7 linked regions of the Solanum lycopersicum genome follow. The protein of the gene in region 6 binds, or shares a complex with, the protein of the main gene of each other region. Links are inferred from orthologs where the notes say so. Each region holds a gene or a part of one and is shown on either strand. Other genes may lie near its edges.

Region 1 (4,246 bases), on a different chromosome or scaffold from region 6:
ATACTCTACCTGAAAAAACAGAATGTATTCTCTTAATATTCTATACGCTACTTATCATAAAGAGGCGCCAAGATATTCGAGCACAACCGACAAAAATGCAGGAAAGCAGGGGGGGAAAGGAAAGATCATGATGATGTAAGGCAAAGGATGCTTCACTGGGAATATTTGATTACTCTTGTCCCTAATTTGTTTTATTTTACCTATTAGCTCAAAGGCTTTAAGTAGTTTTGGACTAAAAAAACAAAGGAATTCAGGATGCAGTTTGACAAATGCAGCAACTTAGAAAGGGAGTCAAAGCAAGCAAGAGTGTCAGTGATATAGTGCTCCTAATGACTCTCATAATGTGCTTTCTGATTAGTAAACTAAAGCTTCATCAGTGATCTAAAAGCCAAATACTCTGCCATTACTGGATTTCACAAAAGGTAAGTCAACCCTTTACAATTTGTTGTCATACAATGAGAACGAATTAAACCAAGCTGTTATCATCATATTCAAAATATAATGTACACCAGAGGGGCGAACACACCGAAGATTCAAGTTCTGTAGATTTTTCCTTCCAAATCTGCAGCTAACACACTCTCTCAGCCTCTCATTATTGGTTTCGTCTTCTTTTTAACTAGTTTGGTCACTTGTAATAAGGACACAGGTGGGTAAATAAATATTAAAAAATGCAGAAGGTGAATTTGAGAGGTAAATGGATTTACATATTCTTGATAGCGAGAAATCTACTTTCATAAGCTTTGAATCTCATAAAGCTTTTATTTCACTATTAGGCTGCAAGTTTCATGGAGAGAAGAATAGGCAGATGGAAATCCTGCTCATTATCAAGAGAGGTGAAAGCAAGAAAATGAAGCTCCCTTTAGGCTGCAGTCAGTTTTTAATGAGACCTAAAAGGCCTCGACAAGAATTATAATATCTTCTCATGCATATAGTATTTCTTTTGCAGCTTTGTCTATGAATTGCAGCAAAGGAATGCAAACTTTGTTAACCAAAAAACTGTTGATACCATCTATATAAGAAATTTATCATGAAATAATTTATAATTCTTCACTTGGACAATCTGTTATGCCTTAAATATCGGCAATCCTTAAGTCAGAGAACAAAGAGCCAAGGAGGAAAAATTAGGGATCATTCAGTATATGAAGACAACTATGGACAAACTTCCAAACTATATACCGTATTTTATTGATCTTGTTGTTATTAATGCAGTTAACGCGGCAGCTCCCTTTAATCAATATGCTGTAGTCCATCAAGCTCTTCCCAGTTTGTTAATTTTGCACATGGTGAGGTTGTCCTATCCCTATTTCTTGCGACTGTAGACAGACTTTTAAACCCCTGGAATGATGACACCCCTTTAATCTCTCCTCTTGAAGTTATATAAGAAGTTGTTTAGATAGTAAACTATAATATGGTTTTTAATCATTGATTATCATATGTAACTTAATAATATGTGATTAATGTCAAGTGCTCAGCTTACCATACCACAGATTTCAAGAAAACAATATATTTAGTTTGCAAATTGCAACTGAATCAAACTTTTTCCAACTTTGGCTATGTCTTCAGATCCTCCACATTGTAAGGGATAATTTTCATCCCATATCAGCAATACTAACTTTCACTTGGTACTAAACAATCTAACGTAATGTGCTATCAACACAAAGCACATATCTGAATTCTAGACACCCGACTACTAAATGGGGTCTCAGGTATGGAATGAGCAATTATCTGAGTAACACTCATGATGATTTCGGTCCTGTGACCCTTTGAGTACGGCCACTCCACACACACACAAATAAAAAGGCTACCTGCACCAAAATGATGATTCATCGTATTAACATTTGAAAGTTATCATCTTTCCTTTTTCCCCATCAATGTTCAAGAAGAACTTACTATCCCTACTTCATGGGTAGAGGGACCGAAGGTGTATACCATACAGTATCCCTTTGCATGTGATCCAATTAATTGAAATTCAGAAAGCTGAAATGTCACCTCTACCATCAATAGGTCTACAAAGTTAATATTTCCGCCCCTCGAACTCGTAACCTTCAGGTCAGCAAAGGAGCAACCTTGCAATTGCACCAAGACTCTTTTTTTATTTTAAATAATGGTAATGTCGGGGTCAGTTTGCACATACTTCAACAACCATTACCCTAAGTAACAAGTACTTAACTAAACTTCAAATTATCAGATACAATTTCCTTTTGACAATTGTGGTGTATGGCCAGTATGCGCACACCTCGACTAATTCTAAGGTTACCTACTGCCTCCCCACAAGCACAATTTCTTACACACAATTCACAATATTGTTAAAACCCAACAATTCACTGAAACAAACAAAACAACAAACAGTTCATGTGCATATTACTAGACCAAAAAAGAAACAACCCCAACAACTAAAAACACAGAGAACACAACAAAAGGGTAGAGAAATTACGAGCAACAGGTTGAAGGGCTGTCTTGAAAGGAACAGAAAGTGAAGCAGGAGAGCTCAAATGGGTGCTTGAAATCTTGATGCCACTCAATTGAGAAGTCACAAAACTCAACTCTGAGCTGAATTTCACCTTGGGTAAAGCCCTTTTGGTCACTGCAAATGTCCTGTAACCACCCACTACTGGTCCTCTGAGGCTTATACCCGCTGTGATTGTCGCCATTTTTGCAACCAATTCCTCAAAGCAAGAATCTTTTTTGTCTCAAGAATGTTGCTTTTTTTTTTGAAGAAGGAAGTGAAGAGTGGATAACGAAATGGATGTGGGTAATGATTTTATTTGTTGGCCTTCATATTTTTTTTTATTGTTATTATATATTTAACTTATTTTTTCCTTTAGTCTAATAATATCAAACGATTTAAATAAAAGAATAAATAAATAACAAAATCTAACTTATTTGGAAGTAATATGTTATCATAGTTATGCTTTAATTTTATTTGCATTACTTGTGTTATCTTAGTTTATGCTTTAATCTTATTTCCATTACTTACTCACGTGGAAGTCTAATATCACAAACCAAACAAAGAGAGTATTAAGCCTATACCAAAATCAAATCATTATTAAGCCTATACCAAAATCAAATCATTATAATATTAAGCGTTTTCTCCCTCTTCAGGTTCCACTTATGATAAACCAAACAAATAGACCAAAATCAAATCATTATAATATTGAACGTCTCTACTATCTTCAAATCAATCACACTATGTTATGAATGTCCTTATCTCTCTAACCAAACAACCCCTAAAATCTGTTATCCCATCAACTGTCCAACTGAGTCAGTGACCAACATCATTTAGAACTACAAGCACAAGACATTAAGGCAAAATAATAAGAAGGTAAATAAAAGATTTCAAGAAGCCATAAGATTGTGCTCCTGTATATTGTAAGTAGTAGGTAAACTGTTGCAACTTAAAAACAAAGTTCATAATTTTTAGATGACATAATACAATGGCTCATTCCTTCATCCCATTCTACATCTGGGAGAAAACATGTATTCCGCTTCAAATCGGGTACGACTCTCGCACTAACAAAAGGGTTAACACCAAGGCATCTCAATAATGGTAAAAATTGCAAACAAACATTCAGTTAAGCATTGTGAAATCCTATGTTAACGTCGTTCAAGTTTGGGGAGATCTGCATAAGGTTTTGAATGGGCCAAAAGAAATTAGTTTTGTTTAGCAAACTTTGTCTGATAGAGATCAAGGGGAACATACTCCACAGTCACTATTCGGTCGTCAAACAGTCGTCCATGTAGACAATGAGCAGCCGTGCATGCAGCTTCTGCTCTTCTAAACTCCACAAGTACACAGCCCGGATCAAACACTTCAGTAATAGGGATTTCTTCCTTTTTCTCAAGTTCCTCTGGAGCATCCAACTCTTCTTTCGATGAGAATTCTGGTTCAGAAGGTCTATCGTCTACATTTCCATTGTCTTCCTCTGACTTAATTGCTTCCTTAACTGGTGAGTCATTGTTTATCTCAAGATGCTCCAGTGGACTGGGATTAGCATTTTCATCTTTCCTTTCTGAAACCATACCAGTACGGGTAACCTCGAGATTTTCTTGGAAGATTGTCTCTTGAGCAGAGACACTACTGTCATCTGGTAGAGGGTCAGAGCTGTCGTCTTTTATTAGCTCCTCAGAAGGTCTATCATCCGAATGACTGCCACCAGCCAAAGCATCGTCATCCCCAGCCTTTTGAGAATCATCTTGTGAAGATTCTGATATGTGTGTTTTACTATCAGCACATCTTTCAGCTTCC
Region 2 (4,061 bases), on a different chromosome or scaffold from region 6:
TATTTTATTGTATTAATTTTATATATTGAAATTTAGATATATTTAAAATGTTCACCTAATATTATTTTTTAACCAATAAATATATTTATTCTTTGAAAGAATTAGGTTCATGGCATTTATATTCTCCACTTGTTCTTGTCCTATAAAAGTAAATAAATTAAACAATCTATTTTACTTTAAATATTCTTCTTTTAAATCCTTTAATTTACCAACACAACTTTTGACTCGAGCAATCAATTCCACTAACTAGTTCAAGAAGCATAATATGAGCAATTTTCAAGAATAATGTGGCATTATTGTAGGTCGGCGTGTTAAATAATCGGGTTGAATTAAAATTTAAAATATTAAAATGAGTTCAAATAAAATTTAAGTCGAATCATAACCTCTTCAAATTATGTTAGGCTCAAATAGGATAAACATTGGATTGGATCATGACCTGTGCGATTTGACATGTTTAATCTCAATAATTTAAACATATTGTTATTTTCCTTTAATAACTATTATTTGAATTTTAATTCAATAAAAACAGTTATAAAATTGATATATAAATCATAAAAAATATAAAATAGATTCTAATTTATGCATTCAATATGAGAACATAAATTACACCAATACAAAAAATACTCTTAAAACATGTTGAAATTAGAGATTACATTGGACACAATTAAAAATTATTTTAAAATGGGCTAAAACGTAAATAAGTTGAGATTGATCCAATTCAAAATATCTAGAGCTCCCGCCTATAAAATTTTAAATGAGTTAGACGAGTTATATATATTTAGGCTCATTTTGACATTCTTAACCGTACTTGTATGGAGGTATGCAAAAAAAAATTATTCTTATACTTTTTATCGAAAAATCATATTATATATGCCCGTAAGTAGGAGTATGAAATTTTCTCGATAAAAATTAAATTAAAAATTTTTAAATATGATTTCATTTTTTGAAAATACTTTTCGCAGAATATCAATTTGAGATTAAAAAACGTTTTCAAAAATATAAAAACAATCACTTGGATTTTAGTTTCGAAGAAAAGATATCTGAAAAAACATTTTATTTTACTAATTAAAATCATATTATTCCCCTTTACAAGTTCGATAAAAATATTTACAACTTCAATATTTATAAGCAAAATTAATTTATGTCCATAACTTATGTTCGATAAACGAAACCATTAAACTTAACCCGAAAACAAGCTAAAAAAAGCCCAATTCAAAACGGGTCAAGTATATTATAAAAAGGATGGCTGACATTTCTCTTATCTTTTTATCTCGAAGATTTTGCCATTGTGGCTCCATAATCCCCTCGGTGAGTTCATCTCTTTTCCCCTCTTCTGTAAATTCAATGTTTTTTTCTTGTACTATGTTTAATTGGGTGTTCGAAAATGTATTTAATTTTAGCTGACTCGCAAATCTTGGTTTACTATTCTCTCCATTTCAATTTGTTTGTGTGGTTCGACTTTGGCAAATAATATAAGAAAGTAAAGATTTTTTTTTAATCAAGTGGGGTTGAAGTAAAACTAATGTTATGTCGAATGTATCAAAATGTTGTTTAATGTGAAAAGTTAGAATTGAAGAGTTGCTATTGGAAATTGAAATGGAGGGGGTTAGTATTTATGCTTCACTAGGATTTGAACTTGAGACGTTATGGTTATCAATCTACTTTATTGACCGCTACTAATATTTTAGGTGGACTGCAATCTTGATGAACATACTAGTGTTTATTTTGTTGTTGATACTGGTTTCCTTTGATTCCTCTTTGTTTTGTGGTTTAAAGACTTGTCCTTTATGATTAAATATGGTTCTTTTATGACCAATTGCTTGCGTAAGGACTTATTTGCGGAATATTTTGTGGTGTAGAGTTTGCGAAATGCGTTTGTGGTGGAGGGGGGTTGATGTTTGGTGTAATTTTGAAAAGAAAAACAATGAGTGGAAGTAATGTGTATTGAAATGCAAGAGATATATAATGGAGTAAAGATAGTTGTAATGAGGACTTAAGGTACTTCTATTGTTAGGAGTGTGTGTTTTGTATTTTTTTTGAAGATTGATAATAAGCTCAGCAAATTGGTTTTATATTTTGATAAAGCTGAGTATTAAGAAATGACAATATTATCTAAACAGTGGTTGGAGCGAGCGATAAGGAGAAAGAGCTGAAATCGTAGTAAAAGGAAATGACTTATCTCATAAGTGAGAGTAGTTATTTCCCCCTTTTGATGGAAAACTTTTTTTCTTAGGAAATATGTTTAGGACCATTTTTATCACTCTTCTACTGTTTTAGTCATACCGAGCAGTGTTAAAGTCAGAGTCAAACCTTCTGTAGACTTACTATCAAAAATATATTTCTCCAATTTGTGTTCGCGATGATCCGGGGAAATTTTAGATTGGCGATTAAGATCCTTGGTAGTTGTTATGGTAATAGTTTTGTCCTCTTAGTAGTTCTATGCTCATATTTTTCCCATTGTTAAATATCACTTCCTTTCCTTTAGGCCTCTCATCTCTGATAGTAAGTACCACGAGAGGCTACTGAATTTCTTTGTTTTCTTTGCAGCGTATAAATGGCAGTGAGTTTGAGTCTTGTTTCCTCATTCAAAGGACTCTCCTTATCTTCCAATTCTCTCCTTGGGGTTTCTCTTCCCATTGCCCCTAAGTTCTCCGTTTCCTTCCCGTTGAAATCTCCATTGACAATTGAGTCTGCACACAAGAAAGGAGCTGGTAGCACTAAGAATGGTCGAGATTCTCCTGGACAGAGGCTTGGTGTCAAGATTTATGGTGACCAAGTCGCCAAGCCCGGTTCTATAATCGTTCGCCAGCGCGGTACAAAGGTTTCAATTTTACTTCTTCTGGATCTCCTCTCTCTTTTTTATTTTTGCCTAAAACTCGTATTTGCTGTGGAAGTTCTGATAGTTCTTTTGATTAATTAATAGTGCTTGAAATGAATTCGGATGAACCCACCCAAGTAGAGTGTAATTCCAGTTTTTTTGCTCAATACCTCACAAACATACTAGGTCCTGGCATCTTGTCAATAACTCTGCTCCATTCGTCTGGCTTTCTTCGTTTGGTTTGTATATTATTTGTTAGAAATATGTGGATTGTCTAGAGGGCGTTAGATTGAGTACAAAACAAGGTACTAGAGGGATACATATCTTGTCATTTGAAGTAACAGATTGCTATAAGGTTTAAGGTTTTGAGCTCGTGTCGTGAAGACATAGTTGGAAGTTCTCTTTAAGAAATGCACATTTGTTATAATCCGACTTGAGTTTTTTTTCTTTGCCGAAAGTGTCAGTTTCTGACAGTATGATGCTATGAGTAGATGTCGTCTTCTATCAGTTAGATAGTAAAAGGGTTTATGCCAGAGGTTGGTATTAGTTTTACTTTTTTTCGGCTCTGATATGATCCTGTTATCGTCTGTTTGTTTGCTCTAAGAGTAGTTCAAAAGTTGCATTCTCCGTTTAGCATTGCCATATATTCTGTTCCCTAATCGTTCTCGTGGTGATATTTCCAGTTCCACCCAGGAAAGAATGTTGGACTTGGCAAAGATCACACAATATTTTCTTTGATTGATGGACTAGTCAAATTTGAAAAGTTTGGACCTGACAGGAAAAAGGTTGAGTTCTTTAGCTTACTGCTTGTAGATATGTGGTACACGAGTGTTATTAACGTATACTGACTGTGCAGATAAGTGTTTATCCACGCGAGGTGCAACCTGAAAACCCCAACAGCTATAGAAACCGAAAGAGAGAGTCCTTCAGATTACAACGTGAACGTAGAAAGGCACGAAGAGAAGGTGTCATCCCTGAGCCTCAGTTGATAGTTGCTTCTGCTGCTGAATCCTCTGAAGATAATCCCATCACCACTTGCTGATAATGGTCTTTCGATTTTTCAAACATTCTGTTGTCGTTTTGGTTATTGCTAGTAGCTACTTGGGAACACATTTGCAGGCACATTTTCTAAACTGTGTTTCTGCCATTGTTGTCTTTTTTTGTTTGTAAATTGTGTTACTGAAAGCATGAGTCTTTGTCACAGTTTGTATGAGTACAGAATGAAATGTATGATTCAGAAGAT
Region 3 (4,107 bases), on a different chromosome or scaffold from region 6:
ACAATGAGAGGCAATTTGAATTTTAACTTGGCTGATGCACTTGGAGCAAGTGACAGTGAGAAAAAAGAATAGAAGGTTTCTACTTCTATAATATATCAAAAAATGCATATTATTAGGAAATGTATTATACCAACATTATATTTAGATTGTTTGGTATCTAACTCTCTAATTCTAGCATGATTGTTTACCAGACCAAGCTGATAGAATACGTTGGACCAACCAATAACCAGAGGAGTTCAAGGAGGCTTTCAACCGGACGAGAGGGGTCAAGTAGAGCTGTGTTTGCCAAGACAATGTTGGGCTATTACCAGCATATATTGGTGCTCTATTATTTTGTGATGGTAGATAGATTTAGTGCTATAGTAGCAAAATTTCAGTTGTTGCTACTCTCAGCAACAGCATGCCCAGTATCTTTCCACGAGCGAGATCTGGAGAGGGTGGGATGTAAACAAACGTTACTCCTACTTTTGCTACTTTATCTTATATAATTTGAGGGTTTTTCCTCTAGTTCATAAATTCTAAAATATTACAGTTGTTTGTACCTGAGAAGTGTTGTAAAAACCTTCTTTATGTCTATATTAATTTGATGTTACTGGAAATTGAGTACCTTTTAAGATCATTTTGTCATATATTAAACACTAAAATAAATTTCAGTCTTCTTTTATTTGTGTAATTTTTTTGATTTATTTTTTTTTCCTTCCAATTTTGCGGGCTTGATTTTTAACATAACAAATGGCATTACTTTTGTTCTTATTTTACTCTTCTTACCACGTATTTGTAATCTTACTTCTACGTTTTAAAGATAGAATAATTATTTTTTAAGAGCCTCAAATTAAATAAAACATATCAAAAATAGTACTAGCACTATGAAAATTAAATATAATGTATATGTAATTGCAAAAAGTAGATGGGAGGCTTTACATAACTAACCTCGAGTCAAAATTAAACAATGATGGCTTCAAGAGTAAATGACCTATTATATAATTTAGAATATTTGTTAATCTCTCCATTTCAAAAAGGATGGTCTAGCTTGCCTTGAAACAGAATTTAAGAAGAAAAAAAAATTTTTTAATCTTGTGATTCTAAATTAAAGTTATGTCAAATGTACCAAAATATCCTTTAATCTTGTGGTCTTAAACATGTCACGTGGAAAGTTCAAGTTAAAATATTATGAAAAAAGGAAATGAGTTTTTTGTTTTGAAACAGACTAAAAAAGGAAATAGAGACGTTCTTTTTGAAACGAAGGGAGTATTATGTTACGAGAATATGTAAATTTATACTATTTCTAATACAATTATTTTTAAAAAAATAAATAAAGGATTTCGGGGTAAAATAGTCATTTGGCTACCACTGCAGATAGGATAGGCTTCAACAGATAAAATTGAGAGAGAGACAGAGAATACCCAAAAAAAACCTCTCACTCTCTAACAATGGCAACCCTTTCCCTGTGTTCTACATCTTCCCCCTCAACAGCACTTTCCAAGAACCAAACTTTTCTTAACACCCTTTCTGTTCCCAAAGCAAATTCCAATGTTACTTTTCTATCTCACTCATTTTCCTCTCTCAATCTCCGTTTCTCCAAGCCCAATTCTTTATCCTCTTTTGTACCCAAATACTCAGAATCTGAAGCTCCAGTAGCTGAAGTTGAAGCTGACCAAGAAGAGCCTGTTGTGGAAGCCACTAGCTTGGAACCAAAACGGGAAGAAATCTTTGCTGTTGTTATGGTGACGACTCACTTCCATTCATGTTTAAATTTGTGTAGACATATCTGTTTGTTTTCAATTTCGAAATCAATGTGAGGGTACAATTTAGATTTTTATTGAAAAAATTATGAGGTCCCAAATGAAAATTTGAAAATTCAGCGGAAAATGTTTCAGTTGTCTGTTACCTTGAATTTTTTTCTCGAAGGAAATAGGAAATTGATCTATTCCCTCTAAGGGAATGTTACTTTGTTGTATAGAGATCACAACTTTGGTTCAAGATTGTCATGTGCTCAACCTTTGATATCACAAAAGCAGTCGGAATTTTAATAAGGGGAATTCAAAATTACTCAGACCTATTATTGAAGCAATTTCTCGAATTAACCTTTGCCACTAGAACGAAAACTTCCTTTATGTCAAACGGATTAGAAGTTCCAAAAATTTGTTTTCATGAAGAATGTTCCACCACACCTCACTCACTTAGTTCATATTTCGTGTTTGCTAGTACTGTTGATACATTACTGCTTCCTATGGTGTATGTGGTGAAAATAGGGAGTGTTACAATGAAATTCTTTCGTTCTGTTATTTATACGTCAATGCCATTCTGTGATGCTTAGGTTTAGCATTCTGTTTTAGGGTGTCTTAAAGGAACAATACACATGTCTATATGTTTGTGTCATATTGACTTGGCAGTGGTGGTGGCTATTGGAAATGTTAAAATAGTCCGTGCTAAATAAGCTGAACTGAACTTTTTATATGCTTAGTATTCTCCAGTAGAGTTGGCTGATGTTAACAGAAAACTATAATTATTATGAAGACATGACGAAGATTTAGTACTTGGTATATCCTTACCTGTGTTCTGGACACCATCCAATTTCAAAAATCTCAGTCTATGTTCTCTTTGGTTTTAGTTTAATTTCGTTTTACAAGTGGGCCATCTATTTTCGGTAGGCGTTTCCTCTAGTTAAGTTGCAAAGGGGTTCATATGGCAGATTAGAAGTAATATAACTAATAAATAACTGATAACTATCATTTAGTTCTAACTTTAGGTGTTATACAGTTGTCAGAGGGAATACATATCTACAAGTCCATGCAAACATTTAAGCAAAAGTCTAGTAATTGTTGAAATTTGATTTTGAGGTTGCCATATTCTACACTTTCATCTTTTATTTAATGTGAATTGTGAACTATTGTATTTAACCGGAGAAAACATTCATGTTTACTACTTATTTGATGAATATTTTTTCTTTTCCATGTGGAAAATACTCACTCTTGCGAGGAGATTATAGCTGCTATTTCAATCTGATCATTATTCCTGCTGCTAACAATTTTCAAGTCCTCTAGGTGTCAAATTTTGTGCTTTATTTTGTTCTTTTTTCTTTTTTTCAGATGAATGTGACACTACCCTAATATAACTCTATGGGGCTTGTCTTTAATACGTTAAGCTGTTTGTTCATTTTTGCTCTTTCGCTTTCATAGGTTGGATCTCGGCAATATATTGTTTTTCCTGGGCGGTATATCTACACCCAGAGGCTTAAAGGTGCAAATGTCAATGACAAAGTGAGCATTTTTGGTCTTAATTTACAATTGATTTCCCAAAATCTGGTTACCTCTCTGTGGCTTTGGCTTTAGTTACGTGAGTTGTTTTTCTTTTTCCTTGTCTCGCTATCTCATATCAACATTGTGGTGTCCAATCAAAAAGAACTTGCTTGCAGCAATTTCTCAATTATGTCAAAAGGCATCAATTTCAACCAATAGTGACATTTGCTTGTCCTATTTCTATTATCTTTAATACATTGTCTTCACCAGTTATTTTCCACGGAAGCTAACACTTGATATAAGGGTTATATGTGTATGTCAAGGTTTTCTTGCCATATTGGCAATACTCTTATTTCAAAATTTCCACAATGAGGATCATTGTTGAAGCATCTATACTTGTTGCTTCTGCAGATTATCCTAAACAAGGTGTTACTTGTGGGAACAAAAACAAGTACTTGGGTTGGAAAACCAGTGGTGCCAAATGCAACAGTCCACGCTGTTGTTGAAGAGCAGGTCAGACATCATTCTTCCTCTGCTGTAGTTTCCACTGAGTATATCTTGTTTACTTGACATATCTGTTGGCTCATTATTACATTTCCATGCAGTTGAAAGATAAGAAGGTTATCGTCTTCAAGTATAAGAAGAAAAAGAACTACAGAAGGAATATTGGTCACAGACAGGTATCAAAGAACTGTTTTTAGTGATATCTGAATAACTATAAAGTAGTTTGAACTTTTTTAACCTATCTGTTTGCCCTTAAAGCAAGGCGCACCGTAGTCTATCATAGTTTTAACTATGTCTGCAAATAATTACCATGCAAACATGAAAACTGTCTAAATCAGTGAGCTTACAGCCATGTATGAGACAT
Region 4 (4,177 bases), on a different chromosome or scaffold from region 6:
CTTTCTCTTTCTTGTTTTATACACTTCGTTTTATACAACTTGTTTCAACTGTATATGTATAGCGAATTATACAGTTTCTATGTTTGCTATAGGAAGCAAATATACAAAATTTGTTATAGCATATAAATATGAATTTTTTATTTGCCATATGTGAAAGTTGCCCTTATTTATATGTGTAAATACAAAACAATAATGTATGAGAGACAGAAAGAGTACGCTTTTACAAGTATGACTTTGATGAAAAAAATATGGCTAAGTGAATGTAAAATACTCTCCCTCCGGATTTAGATGACAAACTTTTTTTTAGTCAATTCTAAAAGAACGATACATTTCTTTATTTGATAAATAGTTAATGACACTGTCAATATTTTGTAGATGACTGGATCCCACTTATTCGACAAAACGTCTACAAAGTTGTGTTCTTTCTAAGGATAGTTTTGAGATATACAAAGTATTTTCATATTTTTTAAACTTCGTGTCCAATGTCCACTACTTAGTCAAGCAACACCACATGAATTGAGACGGATGGAGTATTATGTTGGGCTGTTTTTTTTGGATAAATTTTAGAAATCACATAATTTTAATATGAAATTATAATTCATCCCTCTTTAGTTTGTAATTTCATTAATCCCTTAAAAAGTAACACAAATCGGATACATTTATATGTAACTCGAATACATTAAAGAGTATCTTAGATGCATTATAGCATAAATCGGATGCATAATATGTAGTTCAGATACATTAAAAACTAGATCGGGTACATTATAAAATAAATCGCATACATAATATGTAACTCGGATACATTAAATACTAGCTCGGATACATTAATATGTAGCTCGGATACATTAAAGAAATAATGGATTTTAGAGGTCTTTAGAAATAAAAGGGGATATATGAAAATAAGGAAAATATAAGACGTGTATTTCAGTAAGGGTAAATGATAGAAATCTCACTTTTAAGTTCTCTTACTATTATTATCCCCTATTAGTTTTACAAATCTCCAAAATCCCTCATTTTCACACATCAAATTAACGTATCAGCACATCAAATTAATGTATCTCGCACATCAAATTAATATATATCACGCATCAGATTAATGTATATCGCGCATCAGATTAATGTATCTTGTATAAAGTGTACATCAGATTAGTGTATTATGTATAAATGTAATGTATCGTACTTAATGATTAATGTATCTCACACATCAGATTAATGTATCAAATGATACAATAATATATTATTGTATCATTTGAGAAATTTTTGTAATTATATACTTGTAAAAAACAAATGGTAATTTTGCCTTAAAAGTATGTGATTTCTGTCCTTCGCCCAAATAGCCTAAAATATTATAATTGGACTAAGAAATGGGCTTTACATGAATTGTCCCAATAAGTTTTGTTGGCCCATTAAGACATCCATTATCTTCTTCAGTTCGCCATTACAGATAAGATAACGCTATAAACTGTAAAAAATACAGAAAAACGGAGCAAAAAGTGAAGAAAAGAAGAAGGAAGACTTAGCTATGGCGTCATGGGGTTCATCTTCTTGTCTCCAAAATTACAGCTTAACCAAAAACCCATTTTCCGAAACAGTGAAATTTTCAGAAAGAACTTCAATTTTAACAATTGTTGCTCAGAAAAAAGCCAAGAAAGTTCGAAAGGTGAGCTAATTCTTGAAAATGTGATAATGGGTTGGATTTATAATTGTCAAAATCTCATTTTTTGTCCATTTATGGTTAATAGCTGAATTGGGTATTTTTTGTTTTGATGGAACAGATAATACTGAAAGAGGATATTTCACAGTTGGGTAAAAAGGGAGACCTTTTGGATGTTAAAGCTGGATTCTTTAGGAATTATTTGCTACCATTGGGCAAAGCTCAAATTGTGACAGCTGCACTTATCAAGTAACTCGTTTAACTCTACTTTGAACTAGATTTTTGCCATTTGATTTCATTGCCTTTTAGGTTCTTCTTTCATTAGCTGTACTTTTGTGGAGTTCGCGGTTGTTTGGTAGCTTGGTAGAGTTACGCAGGTATCAGTTATTTCGTCTTGTAACCTGCATAAGATAATACATTATATATTAGTTAGGTAGGTTTTTGAATTACAAATTAAACTTTGTGTTGATTTTATACATGAATAACTTATTCTCTAACTAACTGCCAAACATTGTATTACTTATACATTAAGTTAATATATGAGTAAGTTGCTTTTTTACTAGCTACAAAACACCCCCTTAATGTTTGTTAAAATTGGTTCTGCTTGTGTTGGATGGATTTTTAAGTATTCCTTTTGGAGACTGTTAGTTGATTTTAAGTGTTGAATATTCACATTTCCAATCACCCTGTATAGTTTAACGGCATAATCCACAGTGTGTCATGGACACCTGATGTTGATGTGGCAAATATATTTGGTTGGTGCCTAGATGATCATTTTGTAAGTTGGAGTGTTCAACTGACACAGTGGAGATGAGTTGAGGTGTAGATGTGCATACTCAAAGTTGGAGTGTTTTCTTGCTAGTTGATGCCGAGTTTGAGTGTTTTCTTGCTAGTTGATGCCGAGTTCAAGTGTCTGTTTCTGCATTATGACTAGTTAAATTATCGACTTAACCTTATTATTGAACTCAAGACTTTGGTTCTTCTGTTCGTTATCTTATTTTCATGCCTCATAATTAATGTCAGGATTCTTTGGTTCAACTATTTAAAATGCCACACACAATACTTTGCTTGGCTGTTGATGAGTGGAAGTATGTTATTACTATTGCTTGTTTTGTTTTATCTTTTATCTAAACCAATGGACCTATGTCGAATGGAGATAAAATAGGTATACTTAGTCTATGGGATCCTTTAAACTAATTGTAACTAGCTGAAAAGTGGACGGACCCATGGATTATACATATCTTCGTGCAAAGGTCGTACCAGAATAATCATTTTCGATACTCCTTGAGCAGAAACTCTGTATGGCTTTGGTGTTATAACTCTTGGTCAGTACACAAACTCTGTATGGCTTTTGTTCCCTGAAATAGTGCTTCGTATGATTAATGATTATAGGTTTAAGTAAATTCGCTTCTTTTAACCAAATATAATTTATTGATAACGGATTCGTCTTCAATACAATGTCCCACAATGCATAAGATGGATAATGGTTGGATATAAAACTTTAGATTTCCTACTACTTAGTGACTTTGTCTTTAGCTTTTGGGTGAGCAATAGGCCTAACCAGCTGTTAACATTAATGGTGTGATAGTCCTGTAAAAGTCTTATATATAAGGGATTTGCTATTTCATACTAAAGAACAAAACAAATAGGTGAAGGCTTCGTTAGAGATGGTTGTTAGAAGCAATTTTGGTTTGATATTTTTGATAGCTATTAGCGTGCTTCGCCATCAGTGAGAATTAACTAACTTCATGGATGCATTTTTATTTTATAACATTATGTACTTTTTACTCAGGGAAATGAAGATGGAAGACGAGAAAATTGAGGCTGAAAAACAACGGGTAATTAGATTATTCTGATTAATCTAATCTATTGAAAGTTGAAAAATATATACATTTTTTTTTTATTTTCAAGTCACTAAAAGTCTAAAAGAGTTTCATAATGAATGTGGTTTTAGTTAAACGTTTTTGATTTCAGGTGAAAGATGAGGCACAACAGCTTGCTCGAATTTTTGAAACTATTGGAGCCTTCAAGGTGAAGCGTAAGGGTGGGAAAGGAAAGCAAATATTTGGAAGGTCAGTGAAATACTAAATTGTGATGAGCAACTTGGTGAATATTTGATCTACCTTTTGACGTCATCTCTCTTGCAGTGTCACTGCTCAGGATCTCGTTGATATTATAAAAGCACAGATACAGAGGTACCATTTTCCAATCTTTCTGCCATAGCATGTAAATAGTAGTATGCGAACTAATTACTACTATATGTTCATTGAAGACTGTTAAAGTATATTGTCCTTCATAAGGTTGATCCTGTAATATGAATTTGCATGAACTTGAAAACTGATGTTCTCTGATTCATCTGGTTTATTAAGTAATTCAAATATTTTTCATGCAGTGCTTATTTTCTTGTGTGATTCCTTCTGTGCGATGTTACTTACTCGTTAACATCAGTCATCGAGAACAGTGGAGTATACTGATTCCATTTTCCGTCTATTGCTAGAGCAAAAACTGTTTTTTTGAAGCAAT
Region 5 (4,189 bases), on a different chromosome or scaffold from region 6:
ATTGTATTCGACCCATTAACCATCAAACTCTAGTACGTAATAGTACTGGCAAACAGAATTTTTGAGTAAATGTACTTTAATATAAAATCTTATGTTACTGAGTTAAAAAGGTGAAGGTGACAACAGAATCATAATATATCAATGAGAGAAGATTCAAAATTAGCAAAATCGAACTAGAATTTACAGACCAGTGGATCTCCTAGGAAGCAGCAGCTACTGCTTCTGTTGTTTTCCCCTTCTCTTTGACTGCTTTCTTCCAGTTCTCTGCACTATCGATGATTTCCCCAGTTTTAATGAGGTACCGGACTCTTTTTCCATTGTCTAAAGTTTTGTGACCAACCCGACTGGCTACCTTCTGCTCTTTTGAATAAAGCATCACGTTTGAGCTGTGAATAGGAGCTTCAATCTGAAACAATAACAACAACTACGTCTCAATCCAAACAACTTGGGGAAGTTCAATCTAAAATCTTAACACAAAGTTTTACTTTCTTGTTAGGGCAAAGATGAATTCGATGCTAGCCACGACGAAATGAAATCTCAAGATAACAATTTTTAGGCAAGATAGAGAAGAAAGAAATCGAGATAAAACCTTGACTATCTGGCCTGGTTCCTCCTCACTCCGACTCTTCACATGCTTGGTTTTCAAGTTCACCTCTTTTACTACTATTTTGCTGTTGTGCTTGATGATCTCGGTAATCTCTCCAATTTTACCTTTGTCATGGCCGGAGATTACCTTTACAGTATCACCCAGCCTTACATGCATTTTGTGTAGTACTGGAAGGCTGTTTGGCTTACATTCTTTACGCTCCCATCGCTTAAGCTGCAAAATAGACATAAAAAGAAGCTCTTATTCAATGATAAAGCTAATTCTAATCACAATTCTCATTAACTGTTGTTTCAGCTAAAAGAATATCATACCCATAAAAATTAGTACCAAAGGTTTAGCAATACAAACATTTGGTGGCCATTTTTAAAAGCTGTTGACAAGTTAGTTCGAGCACTTCCTTCATTACATCATAAGTTATAAAAGAAATGCATGACCACATTAACAGCAACCCTATAAAAGTAGTTGCCGGAAATGTCTATCTCGGACAATATACTAAAGGACCAAAATGGATCAAGATACCAACCTTTGCTGTAATCAAACATGGACCTTCTGCTGATTTAACCTGCACGGCATTATATGGAGATTGTCATTAAAGTGGCAAAAGATTATCCAGTTTTACAGTTGACACAATAAAAAGTGACAAACTGCGTAAGGCGTGATATACATCCAAAAAGTGTTAACCGAATAACAAGCAAGTGCATTTTCTGGAGACAGATCTTATTCCATATTTGCTTCCAATAACTTCTGATTATACAGGTAACTATAATATGAGAACGATTTATTATCGAGGAACACAGAGGCATATGTATAATATGGGTTCAGCAGCACCCAGTAGCTTTAACTCAGACCCTATATATGTATTAAAAAATTGATAAATATGTCCAAATATTAAAATTTCGAACCTTAAGTCAAATACAGGGTTCATCCTATGTTAGAACTTGGAAGACATCAATCACAACAGAGGGGGTAAGTTTAAGTTAACCAATTAGCATATTCTTAATATACTTGACTTTTTGAAGAACTTTTGAGGAACTACTGTATCAAATTGTAGATGTCTTTATATATAAAATTATTCTCTTGCAGCTAGAAATACACTGTGTTTGGTATGTAGTTCCAACTTTCCTGTGTTACGAAAATATTTTCTTTAGGAAAACAAGTTCAAGTTCAAAATAAAGAAAATGACTTCCGTAGTGGAAGTAAGAAAAACAAGATGGATAAGTAGCATTTCAAGTTATCATCACCCAATCCCTCCAACTCCCACTTCTTGACCATATCACGTCCGTCCATCCCCGAATCCCCACTCCCCATCCCATCTCGCCTCCATAGTATTTTGTTGGATATATAACATATAAATGCTCTTGGAATAATATTATCTAGCTTAGTTACCATATAAACACTAGAAAATTAGTAAGTTCCACATTTGTTTTCTAGGTAAACATTTTCCTTCGTACCAAACACGCAGTCAAAACTTATAATAGCGAAAAAACATATGATATGAGAAAGGACTCAGGTAGCAATGGTGACCAAGCAGAGAAAAAGTTCACAATATATTGTAATCAAATAATATAAAATTAATTTATAATCAATAGTACAATGGAAATGGATACCTTTGTTCCTATGATCCCTAATACATAGAAATCAAATTATTCAAACAAAGACCTTTCACAAAGACAATTGAAATTGAGATAAACAGATAGGATATAGCCTAGTGGTCAATGCAGTGGTGAACAACTACGATTTATTGGTTCAAATCACAATACACTAGTTTATTTCTTCGCATTTATGTAAGACTGGATGGAGAAAGTTACTTGCAACACAATTCAATTCTGGCTAGAGGTAGCAGGTATTCTACGTAATTAGTCGAGTTGTGAGCAAGCTGGACCGAATGATACAGTTGTAGAAACAAAACAATTAACATTTGAGATAGTTCAGTTTGAAAACCAGATAGTTGAAGTTATGAGAAAGCATACCAGAGGAAGGGAGAGAGGAGGAGAGAAGCGTTGGCCGAAGAAGGAGGTGGAGGAGATGGAGAGACCAGTAAAGGAGCTCTGCAGAGCCGCCATTGTTCAAAACCTTCTGCAAAATCCTTTTGTTGAAGGAAGAAACAACACTGAGCTGAGTATTTGGATAGGATAATAAAAACCAGAACCTTCGTCTTCTTCTCTCTCTATCCCTGGACACCCGATCCAACTTAATTGGACCTTCAACGGGTCGAGTACGGCCCAATTATAAAGTCCCTTTTCAGCTATTTCGGGATTGTGGATTAATTACGAAAATCTCACCTTTTAGTTTAATTATTATCATTATCCCTTATAAGTTTTACAAATTTCTAAAATTTCACAATTTTCATGCATCACATCAATTTCTATCGCGAATCATATTATTGTATCCCGCGCATCAGATTAGTGTATCATGTATAAAAATGTATCTCGCACATTAGATTAATGTATCTCGAGCATCATATAGTGTATCATGTATAAAATGTACCTCGCGCACCAGATTAGTATATCTCGCGCATCAGATTAGTGTATCATGTACCTCGCGCATCAGATTAGTGTATCATGTATAAAATGTACCTCGCGCATCAGATTAGTGTATCATATATAAAATGTACCTCACGCATCAGATTAGTGTATCTCATACATTAAATTATTGCATCTCGCGCATTAGATTAATGTATCAACGCTTGTATTATTGTATCCGTTTTGAAGATTTTTTGTAATTATAAATTTGTAAAGTATCAATTTGCCCTAATTTAAGAAGGGAAAAATGATCAAGTTTTAATGTTTTATAGGTTGACAAAACATATAAAAGACGAATTGAACAAATAAATATATTGAAAAAAAGTATCGGGGGATTAAAAAATAAAAAAAGCTTGGTTCTTTTTTAATAAAATTAGATTGAATAGGATACTAATGTAGAAGAAGTGGAAAAGCCTGATCTGGGATTTTCCCCGTTTTCTACCATTCATTAACCTTCCACGCAAATTTACAAAAACTTAGAACAAAATTGGGAACAAAGGCTATCATACACTCAGACTATAACATACCCCTAAGTATCCCAAACGAACTCACCAAGACAAAAGTGTGTTTTTGTAAATAAGAAACCTAACAACCTGACCAATTTTACAAGATGAAACAAAAAAATAAACAAATGGAAGAACTGAGTTAAACTTCATACGAGTCAGCTGTGCTATCTATAGATTCAACACGTCGATGTCCAGAGATTGGATTCCGATGATCTACTTGTTCAACATTGATGGTAATCTCCTCTGCTGTTGCAGATAAAGATCGCTTCTGGCGTTTTCTTTCGTGTCTAGACTTGAGTATCCTTGACAGAACCTGCACAGTGTCCCTCATGGAAGGCCGTTTCTTGGCAGCACGATTCACACATTTGTATGCAAGTGCTGCTACATCATTAAGTTCTTGCAGATCATACTTCCCATCAAGACGGGAATCTGCGATTTCCTCCCATCCGCCTTTTCCATCTGTAGTCATGGCTGCCTACAATCATCAATCCTATGGAGCTTAGTTTCTATATGACTGAATAGGCTTCAGAAACATATGCACAATAAAAGAGGTT
Region 6 (2,599 bases):
AAAGCATTTTACACAGTAAACTGCAAGAATGGAAGTGCACCACAGCACCAGTACAACTAACATTAGAACGCTTGGCTAATGCAACCATACAAAAGACAAGACACCAAATCTATAACAGACTTTATTTCATCTTTACTTTGTCAAGGATTCAAGGGACGGCTGAAACCCTGAAACAATCAGCCTTTCCAATCACAGGTATAACATTACACCAAGATAGTGCAAAACGGACAAGTTTCGTTCAGTTTATCAGGTAAAGGGGTGAAAGACAACTCATTTGAAACTATTGAACGTAAACTATGATCAATGAACTACACCTGATCCAAACTGTTTTAAGTTAACACAATTTTTTTGTATCCATTCAGCTCTATTAGGCTCATTACATTCCAATAGTCGAAGCAATAATGGCAATCGAAAGCAAGACAATTCACTGGATTCAACTTAAATGCTCTACCAGCCCAACTAATTGATGAACCATATAACAACAACAGCAAATCCAAAAATTTGAAGAACAAAGACTGAATTTTTATACTTCCATTTTCAAATAATAGACTGAGTTCACAACTGAAACCATCAAAATACAAACACAAAATACACAAAACCCCTAATTCTCCAACAATTTCCCCATTTACGAAACGAACTAAGGGAATTACAAACACACAATAAAGTCTACTTCTTCTTAGTAGGTTTCTTCTTCTTAGGAGGAAGCACAATCTCTCCTTTGAGAGTTGGAATTTGCATAATCTGTGTTAACCCACTAAACTTCTTCCTGAATTTCTCTACCTGGTCAGCATCAAGAAGTAGCTGTGAACGACTACCTTGATAAAAAGGATGATTACCTGACCAAACATCAACTGTGTACTCATTCTTTGTTCCCCCAGTTGTCATCACATGCTCTCCATTACAATATACCTTAGCGTCATCGTAGAATTGCGGATGTATATCCTTCTTCCTGCAGCTCCATCGCATTTGATTGCTCCCAATTCCCATCTGCAAAATTCAATTTTTCAACAATCATATACTTTTTAAAAAAAAAAAAAAAAAGTTATGGGTATGGAGATTTTGGGGAGTTACCTTCTTGGAGGAGAATGAAGGAGGAGCGACATTTTTTTGAAGGAAAGTGTTGGAGAGAGTGAGCGCCATTGTTGGTATTTTTGCAGAAGAAGAATGAGAGATGGAGAAAAAGAGGAACGGGTTGAAGATTAGATTGCTTATCTGAGGATATTGGGCTGTATATTTGATTGGGCTCTACTTGGGCTAGTTTTGTATGATGTTACTTTTGGGCTATTACTTGAAGCCCAAGGAGTAGGTAAGGCCCATTTATGTAAATACTCTTTCAAAAATGGATTAAACTCGTTAGGGTTGTTTGGGATTAGTTATTGATTCGTTATTACTAATTTGATTTCTTGCATAAGTATTGCATATTTTTTTAAGAAAAACTTGTTTGTTGTAAAAATATCATTTACCCTAGTAGAAAAAAGGTTTGACTAATCTCAAAAGTATTTTTATTATTTTATTTTTAAGTAATCGCTGTTTTTGGGTGGGCACATGGTAAAACTCCCGCTCCTATACGTTAGTTCGCAAATCACATAGGAGAAATAATCTGCATTAGGCAAATTCGGTGCGATGAGCTCAACCCAGAATTTACTTTCGCTGGCAAGTGATTTTGAACTTAAGACCTCTAACTTAAAAGTTCCAAGTCTTAACCATCTGGAGAAATAATGCTAATAAAATATTATCTGTAGATTATTTATATTTATACTCATATCACCCACCATGTATAGAGTGTCAATTACGACTTCTTGACCATTGAATTTAATACTATCGGTCTCTCCTCTCCGAGACGTGTAACACAAATTGGCCAATTTATAAATCAAATATCCTCCTTTTTCCTTTGTATCTAGAGTTTACCAAATAGTTTTTTGTTTTTTTTTTTACATATTATTGAAAGATTAATTCAACCAGGCATGATTGATAATAACTTAGTTCGATTATAATCTTTGATAAGAATAAAGTGTTTGAATAAACAGAAGTGATGTTGTGCTTACCGCCATAAGCAAATCCAAGTTATTTATCTTGTCCTACTTTCAATTTTTGTTATCCCACACGTTGTATTGATTCATTAATCTTTTTTTTTAAAAAAAAATAATTTCTTTACTATTATATTTCTTTTTTAATATGCTTTGAAATATCTTAATTTATCAAAAATAAACTCTTCAATTTCATAAAATAAAATCATATGAAATTACACTAGATACATCGATACAATCGATGTTTTTTTTAAGGCATAATAAATCACTACTAGAATACTTCCTCTGACATACAACATGTCGAGCAGTACATTACCAAAAAAAAAAAAAAAAAAACATTATCTAACTTCTTGCTAACTTAAATTAATTCATCTCTAACATAAATTAAATCTCTCTAATTCTCATGATTAATCCTTTAATTTCCTTGCTTTCTTCCACTTCTCTATATTCTTCAACCTTGCATACATTTTTCTAATCTTATTAAGCCTTTTAGATTGCTGAATAATAATATCAGAAACAGATGAACTTTCACTCAATATAATCTCATATCCATCTTTAAATGAATCCATTCC
Region 7 (2,260 bases), about 2.7 Mb from region 6:
TCTGGAGGGCAAATAATTGGGTTTCATACTTTGTAAATATGCCATTTACAGTAGGAACATAAAATGTACATTGTTGGCTCGTCTAATCTACTGGATAGTTTGGTTTTGATCGGAATGGTTGTTGCGACATAGTTCAAAGGATTCCGATGTTGAATGAGCGAGTATATTGCCTTAATGCAAATACAAACATAGCTACTGTTTTCTCATTCATTGTTTTTAGTACGAGACCCCTCTCCCCGATCACATTTGATATTTGCTTTACATAATATATAATTTTGCTATTTTATTATACGGAACCGATATTCGAAGGATATTGTTTATTATCTCACAAGCTACGGCATTATCCAGTGGCATTGAATAGATTAAAAAGTAAAGCGTAAAACATTCATTTCAAATCACTTATTGCGCCAAAACTGCAATTGAACAAGTTGCAAATTTCCCCAAAGTATCAGACGGAAAACACCATTATACAAAAGCCGAAATGATAAGTTACAGAAAAATTACTCAGATTTGGCGTCGGACTCTGAAGCTCCGGCGGCAGCGGGTTGACCCGATTCATCACTGGCAAAGGACCACTCCGATGGTAAGGGAGGTAACGGAGCATAAACAGCTGGTCCACGTCGAATATCCCAAGCTTGAGTCTTCCGTGGACGTGTCTTCTTATGGTGAGCTGTAGCCTTCTTCTGTGGCCTAGATGAGCACTCAATTACCAATCCCCCGATACTTGTGGGTGCCGACGCCAACCTGGTGGCTCCGCCGGTGAATCCGGTCGCTGAAACAGTTGAGGAACGCGGCAACACCGCCATCTGCAACCCGAATATGGCGGAGGCTGACATTTTCTTTTTTCTTCTCTTCAAAGGTTTTTCCTTCTTCTGGCTGTGTTTAATGGAACCTTTGAAGTGGATTGCCTTCGTTATCTTCTGGTGACTTCAGTTTCTGCTAAGGTTACGACACCGTTTGGCATTTGGGCCTTAAAGCCCTTTTGGGTTATTTGAGTGTTGGATGTAGTAGAACAACAATTGGTCTGGCCCAAATAAATCTGTGGGATCATTTACACTTTTGCTTCTATTTAGTGTTGGTCTTTAATTTATGTATAGTTTATATTTTTGTATAATAATAACTTACCATTTATGTTCATATATTAAGTCTGAAAACTAAACGTAACTTCACAATCGATAGGAGCGATGGACGGTGTGTATAAAGGGCAGAGACGGAGAAATTCTTAGTTAGAGACCCAAAGGTCATTGTGATTAAAGAATAGTTTATGAAATTTTAGTACATAAGTGAATATAATTTAGAGTCAAAAGTACACGGCCTAATTGAGTTCAAATGAGTAATAATCTTATAAGATCATGGGACACAATTCCTCAACTTGTGTCTGTATGTTTGGTAATGTTTTCAACTAGTCATAATTATTTTAATCTTTCTCTGATATTATATGATTTAATATAAAAGTTATTGTATAATATATGGAGCATAGTAGTTGTATTTTGGACATAACTATGAGAAGTGAATGTTGACTATTAGTAGGTTACATGTTTAGAGGAAATGACTTTACTTCTAAAAGGTTAAATTGTTCCTTCAATTGGTGTCAAATCGTTTCATTTTCCTTCCTTTTTCGATGATATTGAAGTAAACTTCACTTGAATGGATACTTTTATTTTTTCATTACCATAATAACACTTTTTTGTTATTAGTTGCTTATTTAGGCACAACTTGAGTTCACGTGTACCTATTACTCTTTCCTTGCTATAATATATATGTGTAAAATCACCCCACTCCAGAAGGATTAATAGTGTTTTTTATCCATCAAACGTGAACTCAATCACTTGATGTTGAAGGCGACTCAATCAATTATTACATGACAATCAAACACCGTGAAAAAGATACTTGAAAATAAGTAGGTCATACAAAATACACCTGAGTATGATTCTTACACATAAAAGAACAAACATATACGTCTCTTTGCATCTACTGTTAGCCTTGTGAGTAATATTATAGGCCAGTCTATCCCATTTGTAGTCCGTGACCTTTATTGTTCCCCCACTTATATGAATCATCAAGATTAATGGATTGACCAACTTCATCTGCACTAATCAGCCCAAAACATCCTATAGCCGAGTAAAAATGAGTTGGTTACCTCTAGCATTTTGGCAATTAGTGCTTTGTTTTATTGGAAAAAGAGTTAAATTGCATATTTTTATAACTCTGGTGTCCGATCCAGTATCATGTACCCTGATAGTCAAAGATGAAAGAAAAT

Evidence for each region.
Region 1: large ribosomal subunit protein bL31c (region 6) and large ribosomal subunit protein bL28c share a complex: the UniProt entries of both Arabidopsis thaliana proteins name them as parts of the 50S ribosomal subunit. The link is inferred for Solanum lycopersicum from reciprocal best matches to the Arabidopsis thaliana genes emb2184 and PRPL28.
Region 2: large ribosomal subunit protein bL31c (region 6) and 50S ribosomal protein L27 share a complex: the UniProt entries of both Arabidopsis thaliana proteins name them as parts of the 50S ribosomal subunit. The link is inferred for Solanum lycopersicum from reciprocal best matches to the Arabidopsis thaliana genes emb2184 and RPL27.
Region 3: large ribosomal subunit protein bL31c (region 6) and large ribosomal subunit protein bL21c share a complex: the UniProt entries of both Arabidopsis thaliana proteins name them as parts of the 50S ribosomal subunit. The link is inferred for Solanum lycopersicum from reciprocal best matches to the Arabidopsis thaliana genes emb2184 and RPL21C.
Region 4: large ribosomal subunit protein bL31c (region 6) and large ribosomal subunit protein bL9c share a complex: the UniProt entries of both Arabidopsis thaliana proteins name them as parts of the 50S ribosomal subunit. The link is inferred for Solanum lycopersicum from reciprocal best matches to the Arabidopsis thaliana genes emb2184 and RPL9.
Region 5: large ribosomal subunit protein bL31c (region 6) and large ribosomal subunit protein uL24c share a complex: the UniProt entries of both Arabidopsis thaliana proteins name them as parts of the 50S ribosomal subunit. The link is inferred for Solanum lycopersicum from reciprocal best matches to the Arabidopsis thaliana genes emb2184 and RPL24.
Region 7: large ribosomal subunit protein bL31c (region 6) and large ribosomal subunit protein cL38 share a complex: the UniProt entries of both Arabidopsis thaliana proteins name them as parts of the 50S ribosomal subunit. The link is inferred for Solanum lycopersicum from reciprocal best matches to the Arabidopsis thaliana genes emb2184 and PSRP6.

Annotation. Positions count from the first base shown.
Region 1 is NC_090808.1:67,409,465-67,413,710, forward strand, and holds the start of large ribosomal subunit protein bL28c, read right to left. Parts: upstream 2,801-4,246; 5' UTR 2,652-2,800; coding exon 2,435-2,651; intron 10-2,434; coding exon 1-9. Other genes in the region: uncharacterized protein, read right to left, coding at 3,652-4,246.
Region 2 is NC_090810.1:58,850,415-58,854,475, reverse strand, and holds the start of 50S ribosomal protein L27, read left to right. Parts: upstream 1-1,261; 5' UTR 1,262-1,308; intron 1,309-2,547; 5' UTR 2,548-2,554; coding exon 2,555-2,821; intron 2,822-3,501; coding exon 3,502-3,603; intron 3,604-3,674; coding exon 3,675-3,860; 3' UTR 3,861-4,061.
Region 3 is NC_090805.1:43,261,584-43,265,690, forward strand, and holds the start of large ribosomal subunit protein bL21c, read left to right. Parts: upstream 1-1,307; 5' UTR 1,308-1,430; coding exon 1,431-1,724; intron 1,725-3,179; coding exon 3,180-3,260; intron 3,261-3,650; coding exon 3,651-3,752; intron 3,753-3,844; coding exon 3,845-3,919; intron 3,920-4,107. Other genes in the region: calcium-dependent protein kinase 11, read left to right, coding at 1-72. UniProt on the Arabidopsis thaliana protein: This protein binds to 23S ribosomal RNA in the presence of protein L20.
Region 4 is NC_090810.1:57,591,530-57,595,706, reverse strand, and holds the start of large ribosomal subunit protein bL9c, read left to right. Parts: upstream 1-1,377; 5' UTR 1,378-1,522; coding exon 1,523-1,660; intron 1,661-1,775; coding exon 1,776-1,903; intron 1,904-3,446; coding exon 3,447-3,492; intron 3,493-3,628; coding exon 3,629-3,726; intron 3,727-3,801; coding exon 3,802-3,849; intron 3,850-4,177. UniProt on the Arabidopsis thaliana protein: Binds to the 23S rRNA.
Region 5 is NC_090806.1:68,736,326-68,740,514, reverse strand, and holds large ribosomal subunit protein uL24c, read right to left. Parts: upstream 2,801-4,189; 5' UTR 2,671-2,800; coding exon 2,578-2,670; intron 1,170-2,577; coding exon 1,131-1,169; intron 821-1,130; coding exon 590-820; intron 407-589; coding exon 200-406; 3' UTR 59-199; downstream 1-58. Other genes in the region: calcium/calmodulin-regulated receptor-like kinase, read right to left, coding at 3,775-4,110. UniProt on the Arabidopsis thaliana protein: One of two assembly initiator proteins, it binds directly to the 5'-end of the 23S rRNA, where it nucleates assembly of the 50S subunit. Required for optimal plastid performance in terms of photosynthesis and growth.
Region 6 is NC_090803.1:66,609,345-66,611,943, reverse strand, and holds large ribosomal subunit protein bL31c, read right to left. Parts: upstream 1,291-2,599; 5' UTR 1,141-1,290; coding exon 1,072-1,140; intron 988-1,071; coding exon 667-987; 3' UTR 501-666; downstream 1-500. Other genes in the region: mannan endo-1,4-beta-mannosidase 7-like, read right to left, coding at 2,435-2,599. UniProt on the Arabidopsis thaliana protein: Binds the 23S rRNA.
Region 7 is NC_090803.1:63,903,610-63,905,869, forward strand, and holds large ribosomal subunit protein cL38, read right to left. Parts: upstream 837-2,260; coding exon 501-836; downstream 1-500.